Neodiprion lecontei: one gene and its partner. The protein of the gene in region 2 interacts with the protein of the main gene of each other region in a biochemical or structural test. Links are inferred from orthologs where the notes say so. Each region holds a gene or a part of one and is shown on either strand. Other genes may lie near its edges.

Region 1 (7,820 bases), about 5.1 Mb from region 2:
CTCTGGCCATCTATTCAATGATACCTCATAAAGAAATTAGGTTTATTCTTCCGTTACTCCCATTCTTCGTCTGCCTTGGTACTAGTGGCATTTTGTGCATAAAAAATTCTGTGGCACCCTTTACGCGAAAAGTTCTCATGAACGTTTTGGTGCTCACTAATTTATTGCCAGGACTTTACTTCTCTCTGATTCATTTGCGAGGTTCGTTAGATGCCATGAAAATATTACGTCAGGAAATTGCAAGTGTACCAAATGATGACGTCAATATCTTATTCCTCACTCCCTGCCATGCAACTCCCTTTTATAGTCACTTGCATGCTAATGTAACAGCCAGGTTTCTGACTTGCGAACCAAGCTTAAGCAACCGAGATGACTACATTGATGAGGCATCAGAGTTCTTTGCAAATCCAAACCTCTGGTTAAGACAAACTTACAGTAACACTAAAGATACGGAGATGCCCACACATCTTGTATTATTTCATGAGCTTGCTCCAAGTATTCATCAATTTCTTGATAAATACAGACTAATCGCTGATTTATTTTATGCTCATATCACACCAACTAATTACAGTCAATACCTACTGATTTACAAAAGGAAGTGACTATCCTTGATTCAATTGCATCGATTGCTTCATTTTAAGTATCTCCATTGTCGACTGATAACTTCGTATCTAGTCTAAGTGATTAACAATTCCTAAACTGCCGATATACTAAGACTACTTAGTCATCATTATGCATTTTGTTTACATGTAAAATTCGCATAAGATTTTCATTAGCCTATAACTTGTTACATTAGGATTCCGCTTTGGGTTTGGTGACTCAAATGGCTCGGGAATAATTGTTATTACTGCGAAACTTCGAGAGTCATGCAAATTGTTATATGACTTAACATTAAGTTTTTTGTGTGTTACAGGTTTGTAAATATTATGAAACTGACATGTTATGACGTAAAATTATCTGTGCCTGCTCATTGGACTTAAAATGTTAGTAGGGCGTGATATGAATGCTATTACAAAAGTAGCAATCGTAATAAACCAGTGTTTAAAATGTCACCGTTTTTTATTCCTATTTGATATCCAAGTATCCAATCTTACAATCAGGTGGACAGTGAAAATGCTGTTAGCTATGCTCAATTAAAATTCGATGTCACTTGGGCCTGCCAGAATATTAGAAAGTTTCCAGTGACGGTTTTCCTATAAATGTCAATCAACCATTCAACATCCTATTTCTCTAAAGTATTTTTCAATTAATCACTAGTATACTCATTGCTTTCCCACTTCTTGATGTGTTATATTTCTTTTTTCGTAATTGACCGTTATACAAGCTACCATAGATATAACAGACTTTTCAATTACTCTGAGGCATTATAGTCATTCAAACTTGTGGCTTTTGATAAGCAATCGTGGTTATAACTGTATTATATTGCGAGTAGAATTCAAGGTCGTGGATTATTTCCTCCTATCAACAAAGTATTTAAATATAATTTGATATTTGAGCCCTAGTGATGAGTGGGAAGTTCGAACGGCGGGGAGGAACACACACAATTGACCATGAATGATAAGTTCGAACGAGTTTTTTTTTACTATCTTCTACAAAGTTGAAAAATATTTTTCTTTCAAAAACGTACCGTGATAGCTGTAATGACATAGTAATGACGTAACCAAGGTCCGAGTTTGTGGCTAACCTAGCCTATCGAGTTCAGTTTTATCCTTGTCTTATATGGGAGCTTGCGCAAGTGTGCGAGACACGTGTCTAATTTTTCCCTTGTAGTTATCTCGCTACACTCGGATGCGCCCGAACGTAGCCTTTGGTTGCATCTTTTTCGACAGTTAAATTATGTGCATGCATACATACGTAAAATCGAAGGTTCGCACCGTCATTCCATGAAGGCGGTGATCATTGAAAATTTACTTAATATTTATTTTGACGGTTAGGACATAGGTGGTCGCGCGGTTAGGTTGGCATACGTTGCGTCACTGGCGTAGTGACTTGCGTTGATGTAAATTGGAGGTAACGAACGAAGTAGAATTGTAAGAAAACAAAAACGAGTGATAAACACCGGGTAATGTATTCAAGAATTCAAATGCATTCCATCGAAAGCGAATGAAAACCAGATACCAATTAAAGTCCATAGTGAGGGAACCGAAAGGGAGTTAAGGCAAAAATGGCACCTGCACTTAGTAAATTTGTAACAAAAAGGTCAATCGCAGGAGCGATAAGTGTCAGCGCAATAATTTGGCTGCTGAACAAAAAAACGAAAAAACGGACATCGAAACTTAGGTAACTAATTAAAATTACTAGTCGAAACCGTCGACGTTGTCTCATTCATTTGTCTACATTCTGCAATGTCACTAACTTTCTTCTCCTAAATAATGCAATGTAATAATTTTCCTTTCACAGACATCAACAGACAAACAACGACATTCAGTATGTCATTAAAGAGGTAAGGATGACAAATTTCATCATAGTTACTCAGATAATCATTAAACGATAATTCAATTTCTGCAGGACAAACCCAAATCGCCCAAAGCTCACGTTAACGCAGAATTCTTCAGGCAGCTACGCCAGCTTATTGCTATTGGCGTTCCAGGAGTTTTTTCCACAGAATCGGGATACTTACTCCTGATAGCTGTGGCTCTCGTTGTCAGATCGTTTTGTGATTTATGGATGATTAATGCAGGGACGCTTATCGAATCGTATGTAAACTTTGGTTATCTAAAATTATACAATTTGTAGATATTGTATTATTCTATCTAGTATTTACTGCGTCCATGCTTTTTGTCCTTAAGCAAAAAATCATTTTCAGGTCTATAGTTAGTATGAATGGACCTCTATTTAGAAAACGACTTTTCTGGTTCTTCTCCGCATTGCCATTGGTAAGCGAGTGTATTTGTTCAATTGATTTCATTTAATGTTAAATTTAAAAAATATGCCATTATTGTCAAATGAGTTGTTGATGATGAGTCTAAAATTGGTGTTACAATAATACGCACTTGAAATATCGGGATCTATCAAATATAGTGAAAATAGAAACACTGCAATTTTATGCTCATTCGCATCGGATAATAAATATCAGCTCTCTGGAATGTTAATATTGTTTTTCACCTATAAAATTATAATTTCCTAAAATTTGATAAAATTTTCACCACACATTTATTGATTTAGGTTTCAATAGTGAACAATATACTGAAGTATGGTATTGGCGAAGTGAAACTTAGGTTACGCACTAACATTACACACCACCTTATGGATAAATACCTCAAGTAAGTATTAAGTGCTGGTTGCAATCAGAAAAGAAGTCATTTCGAAGATAACGATATGATGTATTAGGGTGGAAACAATTTATGTACAGATTTTTTCAGGCTTTAAATTGGCATATTATGTCTGTGGTATTAATATTTGTTTATGCAATTACAATCTAATTCATCTAATCATTTATTCATTAATTCACAGGGGTTTCACATACTATAAAATGTGCAACTTGGATAACCGCATTGCAAATCCAGACCAATTGCTCACAACAGATGTTGATAAATTCTGCGAAAGTTGCACAGATTTGTACAGTAATATTGCTAAACCTCTACTGGATATATCTATTTACGTATACAGACTCACGTCCACTCTCGGAGGACAGGTAAAGACAATATTTAAAATGAAATTTTATACTTTGATACATGAATAAAGTAGCTGCTCAAAAACTTTTTGCTGCAAATCCGTAAAGACCAGTCATCGCTCATATAACGTTCTAATTTTGCACATCACGCAAAATCATGATTGTTTGTTTCATTTTTTTTTCCCCCAACAGACACCCCTGCTTATGCTGGGTTACTTGTTGGGAGCAGGAACGTTTTTAACGCATCTTCGTAGACCAATCGGGTCATTGACTGTGACGGAACAGCGACTTGAAGGGGAATATCGTCACATTAACTCACGCCTGATAGTCAATTCAGAAGAGATTGCTTTTTATCAGGGAAATAATCGTGAGAAGCTAACCCTCCTCACCAGCTTCCAAAAATTGGTAAAACATTTTTTTGTATACCATGAATATGTTGCGAGATAACACAGAAATTAGACACGGTAACTAATAACTTTTAATGGACTCTTTAGATCACACATCTACGAAGATTCCTTGAGTTTAAAGTAACTTTGGGAGTAGTGGATAATTTTGTTGGGAAGTGTAAGTAAAATAGTAAACAAAATATCTATAATTGACCACAGCAAGATTTTGGGGAGAGATCAAGAACAAAGACCGCAACTGGGATAATTTAATTCTTATTTCCAGATGCGGCAACGATTGTCGGTTTCTATGCAGTCAGCATTCCCTTCCTCCAAAAAAATCATCCGATACTGAGTGGAACCCCTGATCATCGTTACAAAAGTTACTACACATATGGCCGAATGTTGATAAAGTTGGCGGAAGCTATCGGCAGGCTGGTACTTGCAGGAAGAGAGTTGACACGACTGGCCGGTTTCACAGCCAGAGTTACAGAAATAAGAACAGTCTTGAACGACCTGAACTCAGGGAAATATCAGCGAACTATGGTGGCAGACAATAAGTCCGAACCGGTTGGCGCACCAGGAGCAGGAAAAATAGTTGCTAAGGACAACATAATAAAATTCGAGCATGTGCCTTTAGTTACACCAAACGGTGATGTACTTGTAAAAGATTTATGTTTTGAGGTGAAATCTGGCATGAACGTTTTGGTCTGCGGTCCAAATGGTTGTGGAAAGAGTTCCCTATTCCGAATTCTCGGCGAGGTAAGTAATCGGCACCAATTCAATTTTCTGTTCATTGCCTGAGCAATAGCTGTATCATAATAATCAATAACTTAATCAACAATTAGCTTTGGCCAGTCTGGGGAGGAATTGTAACTAAGCCACCAAAGGGGAAATTGTTTTACATCCCGCAAAGACCGTACATGACGTTGGGTACTCTCAGAGACCAAGTAATTTACCCTCATACAAGAGCTGAAATGCTGCGACGAGGTAATTGTAATGACGCCGATCTGGAGGAGTTCTTAAATGTGGTGCAACTTGGTCATCTGCTGGAAAGAGACGGTCAAGGAAAGGGGAAAGGACAGGGTTGGGACACCGTTGCCGACTGGATTGACGTTTTGTCAGGCGGAGAAAAGCAGCGCATTGCGGTAAATTGTTTCCCCTTGTATACGGGCGCGTATACCAGTGAACTAAAACTTTTTGTTATTCGTGTAAATTGACGCGGAACCGATTTTTTTATGTTCAGATGGCAAGGTTGTTTTATCATGCACCACAGTTCGCCATTCTCGACGAATGTACGAGTGCAGTTAGCGTGGATGTCGAGGATTCCATGTATTCTTACTGCAGACGAGCTGGTATTACTTTATTCACCGTTTCTCACCGAAAGTCCCTTTGGAAACACCACGAGGTAGGACTCAAAATCTGGCTTGTTACTTTCGCAAACCTGATGTATAAATGTGGATAATAATGTCGTTTCTGTTTCTTTTTTTGTTCAGTATTACCTTCAAATGGATGGTAGAGGCTCGTTTGAGTTTAAACAAATTGAGCAAGATACAGAAGAATTTGGATCATGAATTTTATTGTGAATCGTAATTCTCTATAAGGTGGTATGCATTAAATATACATATAGATACAATTACAAGAATTATAGAACAAATATGATAAATTATCAAATCAAGCATCTAACGAATGATCCCAGAAATTAAAATTCGAACGTAATCGATTTTAGAGAGTAGGATTTGAGCTCATATTATACGCACACATCTCTGTAGGCATAGAAGATATTTTTACACAGGTCAACTATAAATACGTCGTCAATACTTGAAAACCGGGTTGTAAAAATATACGTACAATGATTTTTTAATAATTTCACTATGGGGAAATTTCGAAAATCTAAATCAAGTTTTACAGAAATATAATGGTTATCATTATTTAGAACATTTAGGAATATTATCGCAACTATTGTATTATCGGATAGTTTCATGATAATGTTTAGCAAACAAATTGTCTCACAATCAACAGTTCACAGGCTATGGGATTTTTGAATTAAGTTGATGCAAGTCAAAATTTTCACCACTCTATCTCCTCTTACAAATATACAGGGGATTTCTGATGAAAGGGTAACCTCTGAGCTCACACCGCTAGCGCTAACCACATGTACAAGTTTTTGTTCACAGCATTTATCTGCTATGCTCGGGTCACGTAAAAGTTGCTACTCGCGTGGCTTGGAGATTGCCTTTTGACCAGACATTCCCTGTATATGAAGAATAGAAATGGACGGGAACAATATTCTGAATGGGTATAGGAGAGAGTTTGGTAACATCGGGAATCTATAAATTATTGGGAATGAGTACATAGAGAACAAGGGGTGTATATCAGTTTAATACTGTGTGTGTCCTGTTAAATTACGTGAACAATACTTAAAGTAATCGAATTTGTGCCGAGATAAAGTAAAAAACAAATTTACGTTAGGATCAAATAAATGGTAAATATAACTGTATATATTATACTATATTCATACAGGTGAATCATGGATAGTTTAGGCTACCACGATGCTCAGCCACGGCTTGATTCCAAAACTAATGTGTTCAAGAAGGGATCGTTAGGCTACGTTTTATAGATAATAATTACTAGCGTATAACATCACAAGCATTTGAACTCTTTTAAAAAAATTTAACGCCATTTAATGGCGTTAGGGTAAGAACAAGAATTTGTCACTTGTGAATTTTTAAGCTTTAGACCCTTAAATCTAAGATTAGGAGGGGATGTAATAAATTGTACTATAGATAATTAGACCAAACGTTTTGACCGAGTGACAATGAAAATTAAATGAAACGCGTTGCATTATCGTTGAACGTAAATATTTTGTTCAATGAACATCTTCTGGAATAAGATGTAAGATTGTTGATAGAAATGAAAATTTTGCGTCTCAGCAATTAGTAATTAATTTGAACAATTCGAAACAAAAGTTTTTTTACTGCTTGTTTATTTGATCTCTCATTATTAAATACAATTCAAATATTAATATATTCGACATAGTGCAATTTTTAAGTAAAAAATCAGTTGCGAAATATCGTATTCGAAAAAATTACTACCGCCTCTAGAGACTGTACTTTACAATGCCATAGTTATTTTATATCCAGCTTAAATGCGAAAAGACCTCTACTCGTGGAAATAATAATTACACATTTATATTCTTCTTCCGAAAATTACCTCCTATTTTACTCTCGGTAGTAAAATCACAGAGAAGTCTAACGAAAATTATAAGGTTTCAGTTAACACTGAGTACGGTTGTATATTATGTATACATATTTACGACGGAGACGATTAATTACAATTATTGTTATATTGTTAATTGTTATGTGCAGAGCACATTGTATATTTATATAACGTAATAATTTTAACAAAAATGTCATCACAATAACCATAGTCTTAACGATTTTATTATTAGTATACATGTATATGGAATTGCTGGCCAACGGGTAAAAATATTGAAACAATTTTTTTATATTGAAATAAAGATCACTTTCCGAAGAAAGCATTGTACAGAAAAATGATTAAAAAATAACCGCAATTTTCAGTCAGTGAAAAGGTTTTTGTGAGGGATAAGTAAGATATTTGTGGCGCCCATTTTTGACCATTGATTCTTGGTGTTTTTACCAAATCAAGGAGAATTTCAAGAATAAAAAATTCGCCATTTTGGCCTCCCTAAGGAGATGTAAGCATTTTTAACGGTCATTGGAAACACATCAAAATTCAACGATTTTTTTTTACTCATGAGTTTGGCATCCGTACGAAAGGGGCACAGTCGAAACCACAGTCAC
Region 2 (6,059 bases):
GATCATCGGTGGTGGAATGGCATTCACATTTCTGAAAGTCACGAAAAACATGAAGGTACGGTGATCAGAAAGCAGTAGATTTTTATCACATTGAAGTGCGACTCAGATGATAATAATAATAACAATTGTATTCATTGGTCTGATTTTACAGATTGGTGCTTCTCTCTTTGACGAAGAAGGTGCAAAAATCGTTAATGACCTTCTGGAAAAAGCAAAAAAGAATAACGTACAAGTACATTTACCTGTGGATTTCCTGACGGGTGATAAATTTGCTGAAAACGCAACTGTTGGAACTGCTGATGTTGAAACAGGCATTGCTGACGGCCTTTTGGGTCTCGACATTGGTCCTAAATCACAGGCTATATTTGCTGGTAAATAATAATAGCAAACAACAAGGGATTGACACTCTCGCTATGGGATGAATCCGAAATTGATACGGCTTTCAAATTACAGAACCTCTGAAGCGAGCAAAGGTAATCGTGTGGAACGGTCCGGCAGGAGTTTTTGAGTTTGAAAACTTCAGCAAAGGTACAAAGAGTCTGATGGATGGTGTTGTTGCTGCCACACAGCGTGGTGCAATCACGATAATCGGCGGTGGTGATACAGCTACTTGCGCAGTAAAATGGCAAACAGAAGACAAAGTTAGCCATGTCAGTACTGGCGGTGGTGCCAGCTTGGAGCTTCTAGAAGGCAAAGTTTTACCAGGAGTTGCGGCTCTTTCCGATGCCCCATAAATGGGGCAAAAGGTTCCTGTACAATTCACAAACTCTTGACTTTTCAGAGCAGATTAGCACTGTTTGAACCACTATGTGTATATAGAATATCGATTCCTGAAACGTGATATAAAGATTTAGTTCTATGTAATCTCTTTAGATGTCACGTTTTATCTCTATAAGAATATTGTACCAAAATGTATCATGTTGCTATTTAATAAAAGTTAACGATTCTAATTCTAAATTCATGTGAATTATGCTGGCATATTGTATGCGATCACCTAGCTTTACATTGACCTGGAAGCTCCAGTCGTCTAAGAATGTCAATCAATAGGACAACCGCGTGTAACAGTGAAAATGTGCCATACCTCAGAAGTAGTCCTAAGGGTTCTGGCTGTCCACCTCTGTTCACTGCGATCAATTAGACAATTTAAGACTTCTCACTTATCTCGAGGACATGTTAAATATAACAACATTGTAACGATGAATAAATAACAATTTATGTGTATAAACATCTAACTCATGGCACTTACAAAAATGTTGAAACCCGTCCCATGAACAGACTAACAAACATAGCCATGTCTCATGTGGCGCAAGGGTATAATAAATATTAACACGTACCTAGATGAAATAAATCTGCTGAACCGAGTATAACAGAATAAAAATTTACTATCTGTAAAAAAAAGTAGTAACGCGTATAAGGACATATTTATTATTACCTTATAATTACCATTTTCCCGTAGGTGGCTAGTGAAGATCACAGATCGTGTTTAGGTTTTATTTTTAAATTATAATATGGTGACCTATTCCTTATATATTACATCTATATGCATAATGCATGTATTGTCAGTAGGGATGTGACTGGACCAGAAGTGTTAAATCTTGTCAAAGTCGAATTTTCGCATCCCTAACGTTATGTTTGTAATTCGTACATAACATTGCGAAGTATATACATGTATACACGTACCTACACCGCATTTTAGGTAAGATACACGTAAAATAAGAAAACAAACCCTATGCACGGCGCATAGAAAATTGTGCGAGGCAGTTGCTACATGAAAAACGATCACGTACTCCATACTCAAACCGATGTGCACACAAATGAAATAAAGTCATGAAATTAACCGAACAACTACCCCACATCATATTAATTTCAATGATGAAAAGAGAATTTTATGTAATCTATCATTGAAAATGCAAATGACTGTAGATATGCTATAGATATCTGTCGGCACTAGTGTTGCGAAATAAACATGGAAGCTCAGCAAATCAAAAAATATGGTAAAGGCAACTACTGAAGTGAAATATTTTTGTCATTTCAATCTAGGTCTTTGTTTATAAAAAACAAATAAATCTTACTATTGGAGAATAAAAGTTTTTAAAATGGCCATTTCATTAAAACAATGTTATGAAAATCGATACTGACGAAGTTTGACAATCTTTTTTTCTTTGTCAAACATATTGCGACATTTCTAAGGCTACGTAACAATTTTATACTTTTACATGACGCAGCAGTTTTCAGGTGGGTCAACTCCAGGTGGAAAAACTGGATTTCCTTCAGCATCGCACTTGAAAAGTGCAGGAGCACCGACCAACTCTTCTGGTGGTTGCCCGCAGTTCTGCATTTGGTTCATCAATGCCAATGTCTTTTCAAAGCGAGCCTTTTTCACTTCATCAGAGTCGTCTTCTTTCTCATTTTCCAGCTCTGCACATACCTACGGAAGCGAACCACATAAATGAATCTCGCATCAGTTTCTGATATTATCTCTCATTATAATTTCAGTTAAAATGTTTGCCTGCCTATGGTGACAATTATTAAATTGCACACCTTTTGCATGAGATTTAATTGTTCCGTGTATCTTTCAAAATCAGCTGCTGGTAGGGTGGGTTTTTTTTCTTCAAGCCACACTGGATATTTATCAACTAACTCTTTCATTGTGGGATATAAAACCTCCTTGGACAATAAAGACTGCATCATCCCTTGCATGAAAGATGGGAATTCGCCAGACTCTTCCTCCAGAGATGTTCTCCCGAACATAGCAGCCAGATCTGCTTCTCCCAATCCTGGCACCGGGTTCTATTACAAAAAGTGTACATCAAAAATCAAAATTTGTGGCAAAATATTCTGAAAATAAAATACTACACATGTAACCTAGTGTTCTATCAATATGATTTAGTTGAATATATAAAAAAGTGCTCAAAAATCAAGGGTTATCTTCAGTGTTGAACATCACCTGCAGATCCTGACTCGTACTGGACAAATCTTTAAGCGCTTGTGAAATGGCTGACTGAAAGTCACTGCGAGAACTTTCGCTCCCAAGATCGCCTTCCCCTGTGATAGCACTGGCTACAGTTTGTGCCATTTTTTGGAAAGAGGCTCCCAGATCGTTATCATCACCTATGCAATAAATTGTGTTATAACAACTCGACAATTATTTCTTCAGTTATCACCATTTTGTATCAGGTTCTGTAGGTTTTTTTCGAACTGGTCTGCAGCTTGTTTGATAAAATCTTGCGTCCACTGATCTTCAGCGCCAGCTGCGGCATCCGGCTGCTCCAATTGTGCCGACGATGCAACTGCCGTTGCATCGGTTTTTGGTTTTTCGCTTTGAACCTGATTGAAATCCTCGAGAGCGCCTGGAAAAATTTAAAAGTTTGCTATTACATTGATTTCAAATTCAAAATTCACATCTGATGAAACCTGCGTACTAAAATTGCAAAAACTAAGGTTAAACCGAATTAAATTGATAAGATGACCTACATATATCGAATTCCTAATAATAAACGGATAAAGCATGCATTTTATTTTTTGTACCAAGACAACAATTGACTAAGCAGGTGTTATGGAACAATTGACAAAAATTCTAGGTCAATTTCTAACATTACATAACAGTAAAATTATTGAAAAAGGAAGACTGTATAAAATAAAATTTTGATCTATTATCTGGTGGCCAGAAATTTCATTGGAAGGTTATAAATAATCTTGACTTCATAATTATCGCTAAATAATGAAAATAACAGCTATAGACGCTGTTCGTTTCAGTGGTTATAGGTTATGTTTGTGCATAATAATTTTTCATCACCAAGTCGTTGCTGATTTTTGCAAACGGAGATTACGCCGTAAATGAAAATGTAATTTGCGTCAGTACTCACTATCCAATAAGTCGTTTAATTCCGCATCTGCAGGTTCTCCAGATTTTTTCTTATCCTCAGACATTGTCGAGTTGCTTCCCGCTACGTCACGCGCGAACAATTAAATAAATCCCAAGCCTAAAGACCTCGCGCGCTTCTGCTTAGTGTATTACAAAAATTAAATTCCAGCGGCCGAATCACAACTTTCTTTGCGACGCGTGGCGTACCAATGCCGCGTATCAGCACAAAGTTCAACCCATATAACCAGATGAAAAATTTTTTCGCAACTTAATTAACTTATTTTCCTTGCCTTCCTTATTTTTTATACAGATTCGAGTAAGATTTAATGAAACTTTTAATGATCGCTTTGGTCACGTATACCTACGTAGTTTTACTTGAATTGCATTATTCGGATCACGAATAACGGAATATTCGATAGGTATCGTCGTTCACAAAAAATTATCAACCTATCGCATAACGGATACATTCATTAGTCACTAATTGCCTCCAGACGCGAATGTGCACGTGCAACGGTGTATTAAGGGCAGACGGACTTATCGATTGAATGATTGATTGCAACAACGCTCTGTTGGCAATATCAGGATTTTATCTGTATAAAGTACTTGCACATATTCAACAAATTATTTGTTCATATACATAGTGGTAATCTGTATTAGCGTACAGTTATAAACGTCAAGTTACTCGAATAAGGGAAAAAAATAAATATTTATGTTTATTGTACATATTTTGTGTTACAATTGAACAAGAATTACAACTCTGTTAGGCAGATCATCGATCTGGCTGCACGCAAGAGATCGGCTATCTCTCCTGATTTGTCTCATGATCTGAAAATATTTGATCTAAAAGCTGAGCACACATGTCAGCTTCGTCGAAACTTTCTTCTGCCCTTAGTTCACGTTGATGACGTTCTAGAGTCTGCCTCAGGCAAAGTTGCGGCCTTCTGCATTCCTTCAATGCTGGCAAGTAGTTATTTTTGGCCAATCCAGCTAGTACCCTCAATAGCTGGTCCCTTGAGTTATTTACAAAAAGAAGAATCCATATATATTAATTCCGTTAGCAGTTCGGACAGAAATATTTTGTAAGTGAAGTAACGGAATTTAGTACCTTGTATCTGGATGAAGACCTTGCATTGCCAGCAAACCAGCCGCTTGTTCGATCAAACCCATATTAACAAGAGTTGTCTTTAAATTATGGGGATTGCCATCTTTGCTACATAAAGATGATAACAGGAAGGCAGATTTTATCTGCAGTTTTTCTATTGGACTTTGCAATGCCCTTAGCAGAACTGAATAGCCATCATTGACATTCAGGTGAGTCAATGATACTGGGTTCTCCCTCACCAGACCTAAATGATGAAACATCGTGATAGCAACATAAACTCAGTTAATTGATTACATACTCTGAACTTATTCTTCCAATTTATTCTTCAGCAAGAATGAGGCAGGGCAACTTTTAAAATCAAATATTAGTAAATCTGTCTGTATCGGTGATCATGGTAGATATAAATTCTCTCGAATCGTTTCTGATTAGTTTATGAATACAGAATGATGACATATTATGTAAAAATGTGGACTTACAAGAAACTGCATATAAGGCCTTAATTCTGGTCTGTTCTGAGGGGTCTGTGTCTACCATATGCAGTAATGTCGGCATCAAACCAAACTCCAAGACCTTTTCTTGACAGTATGGATTATTTTGCGTCAACTCAGCGATAATGTCAGCTGCCCTCCATCTGTGACTGCTGTACTTAGAATTAAGGCAGGGTTCGAATATCGCGAAGCCTCCAATTTTGTAAAAGTCATTTGCAGTGTCCATGTTGTCGACATAATTTGCGATCACATCCAGTGCATTATCGTATTGGGAAGGTTCATTCTCAAGCTGGAGTTCGCTTGCACTGGACAACACTTTTATCGACTTTTGAAGTTCCTCTATCACATTTACAGTCATAGAAGACAACGCTTGATTCAAGAACGCTTGTCGCTATACAGAGAAAAGAAAATATAAGCTTATTTTCCTTAATTGATGAAAAAATAGAATTAATTTCAAAACAAGCCGGACTTCATTTGCCACTGAATAGTTTTTTCCATACCTCCTGATCCAGCGGTTGGAACTGCGAAGACTGTGAAGCATTCTCCTCTTGCCTAGCTTCCATGGCAAATCGAAGCAGCCCTTGTAGATTGGATGGCTGCCTTG

Evidence for each region. The genes of interacting proteins can lie anywhere in the genome.
Region 1: the proteins of peroxisomal biogenesis factor 19 (region 2) and ATP-binding cassette sub-family D member 3 form a complex in vitro, tested with the Homo sapiens proteins (4 studies listed by BioGRID and IntAct, with this or other methods). The link is inferred for Neodiprion lecontei from reciprocal best matches to the Homo sapiens genes PEX19 and ABCD3.

Annotation. Positions count from the first base shown.
Region 1 is NC_060263.1:39,546,106-39,553,925, forward strand, and holds the start of ATP-binding cassette sub-family D member 3, read left to right. Parts: upstream 1-1,798; 5' UTR 1,799-2,164; coding exon 2,165-2,280; intron 2,281-2,400; coding exon 2,401-2,443; intron 2,444-2,508; coding exon 2,509-2,696; intron 2,697-2,806; coding exon 2,807-2,876; intron 2,877-3,165; coding exon 3,166-3,263; intron 3,264-3,453; coding exon 3,454-3,634; intron 3,635-3,805; coding exon 3,806-4,018; intron 4,019-4,107; coding exon 4,108-4,177; intron 4,178-4,282; coding exon 4,283-4,758; intron 4,759-4,844; coding exon 4,845-5,144; intron 5,145-5,242; coding exon 5,243-5,404; intron 5,405-5,492; coding exon 5,493-5,570; 3' UTR 5,571-5,600; exon of another isoform or gene 5,601-6,519; 3' UTR 6,520-7,820. Other genes in the region: GPI mannosyltransferase 3, read left to right, coding at 1-602. UniProt on the Homo sapiens protein: Broad substrate specificity ATP-dependent transporter of the ATP-binding cassette (ABC) family that catalyzes the transport of long-chain fatty acids (LCFA)-CoA, dicarboxylic acids-CoA, long-branched-chain fatty acids-CoA and bile acids from the cytosol to the peroxisome lumen for beta-oxydation.
Region 2 is NC_060263.1:34,408,378-34,414,436, reverse strand, and holds peroxisomal biogenesis factor 19, read right to left. Parts: upstream 4,143-6,059; 5' UTR 3,931-4,142; coding exon 3,867-3,930; intron 3,351-3,866; coding exon 3,165-3,350; intron 3,112-3,164; coding exon 2,948-3,111; intron 2,791-2,947; coding exon 2,542-2,790; intron 2,429-2,541; coding exon 2,213-2,428; 3' UTR 735-2,212; downstream 1-734. Other genes in the region: phosphoglycerate kinase, read left to right, coding at 1-55, 152-371, 454-734; hsp70-binding protein 1, read right to left, coding at 4,665-4,875, 4,971-5,211, 5,444-5,846, 5,956-6,059. UniProt on the Homo sapiens protein: Necessary for early peroxisomal biogenesis. Acts both as a cytosolic chaperone and as an import receptor for peroxisomal membrane proteins (PMPs).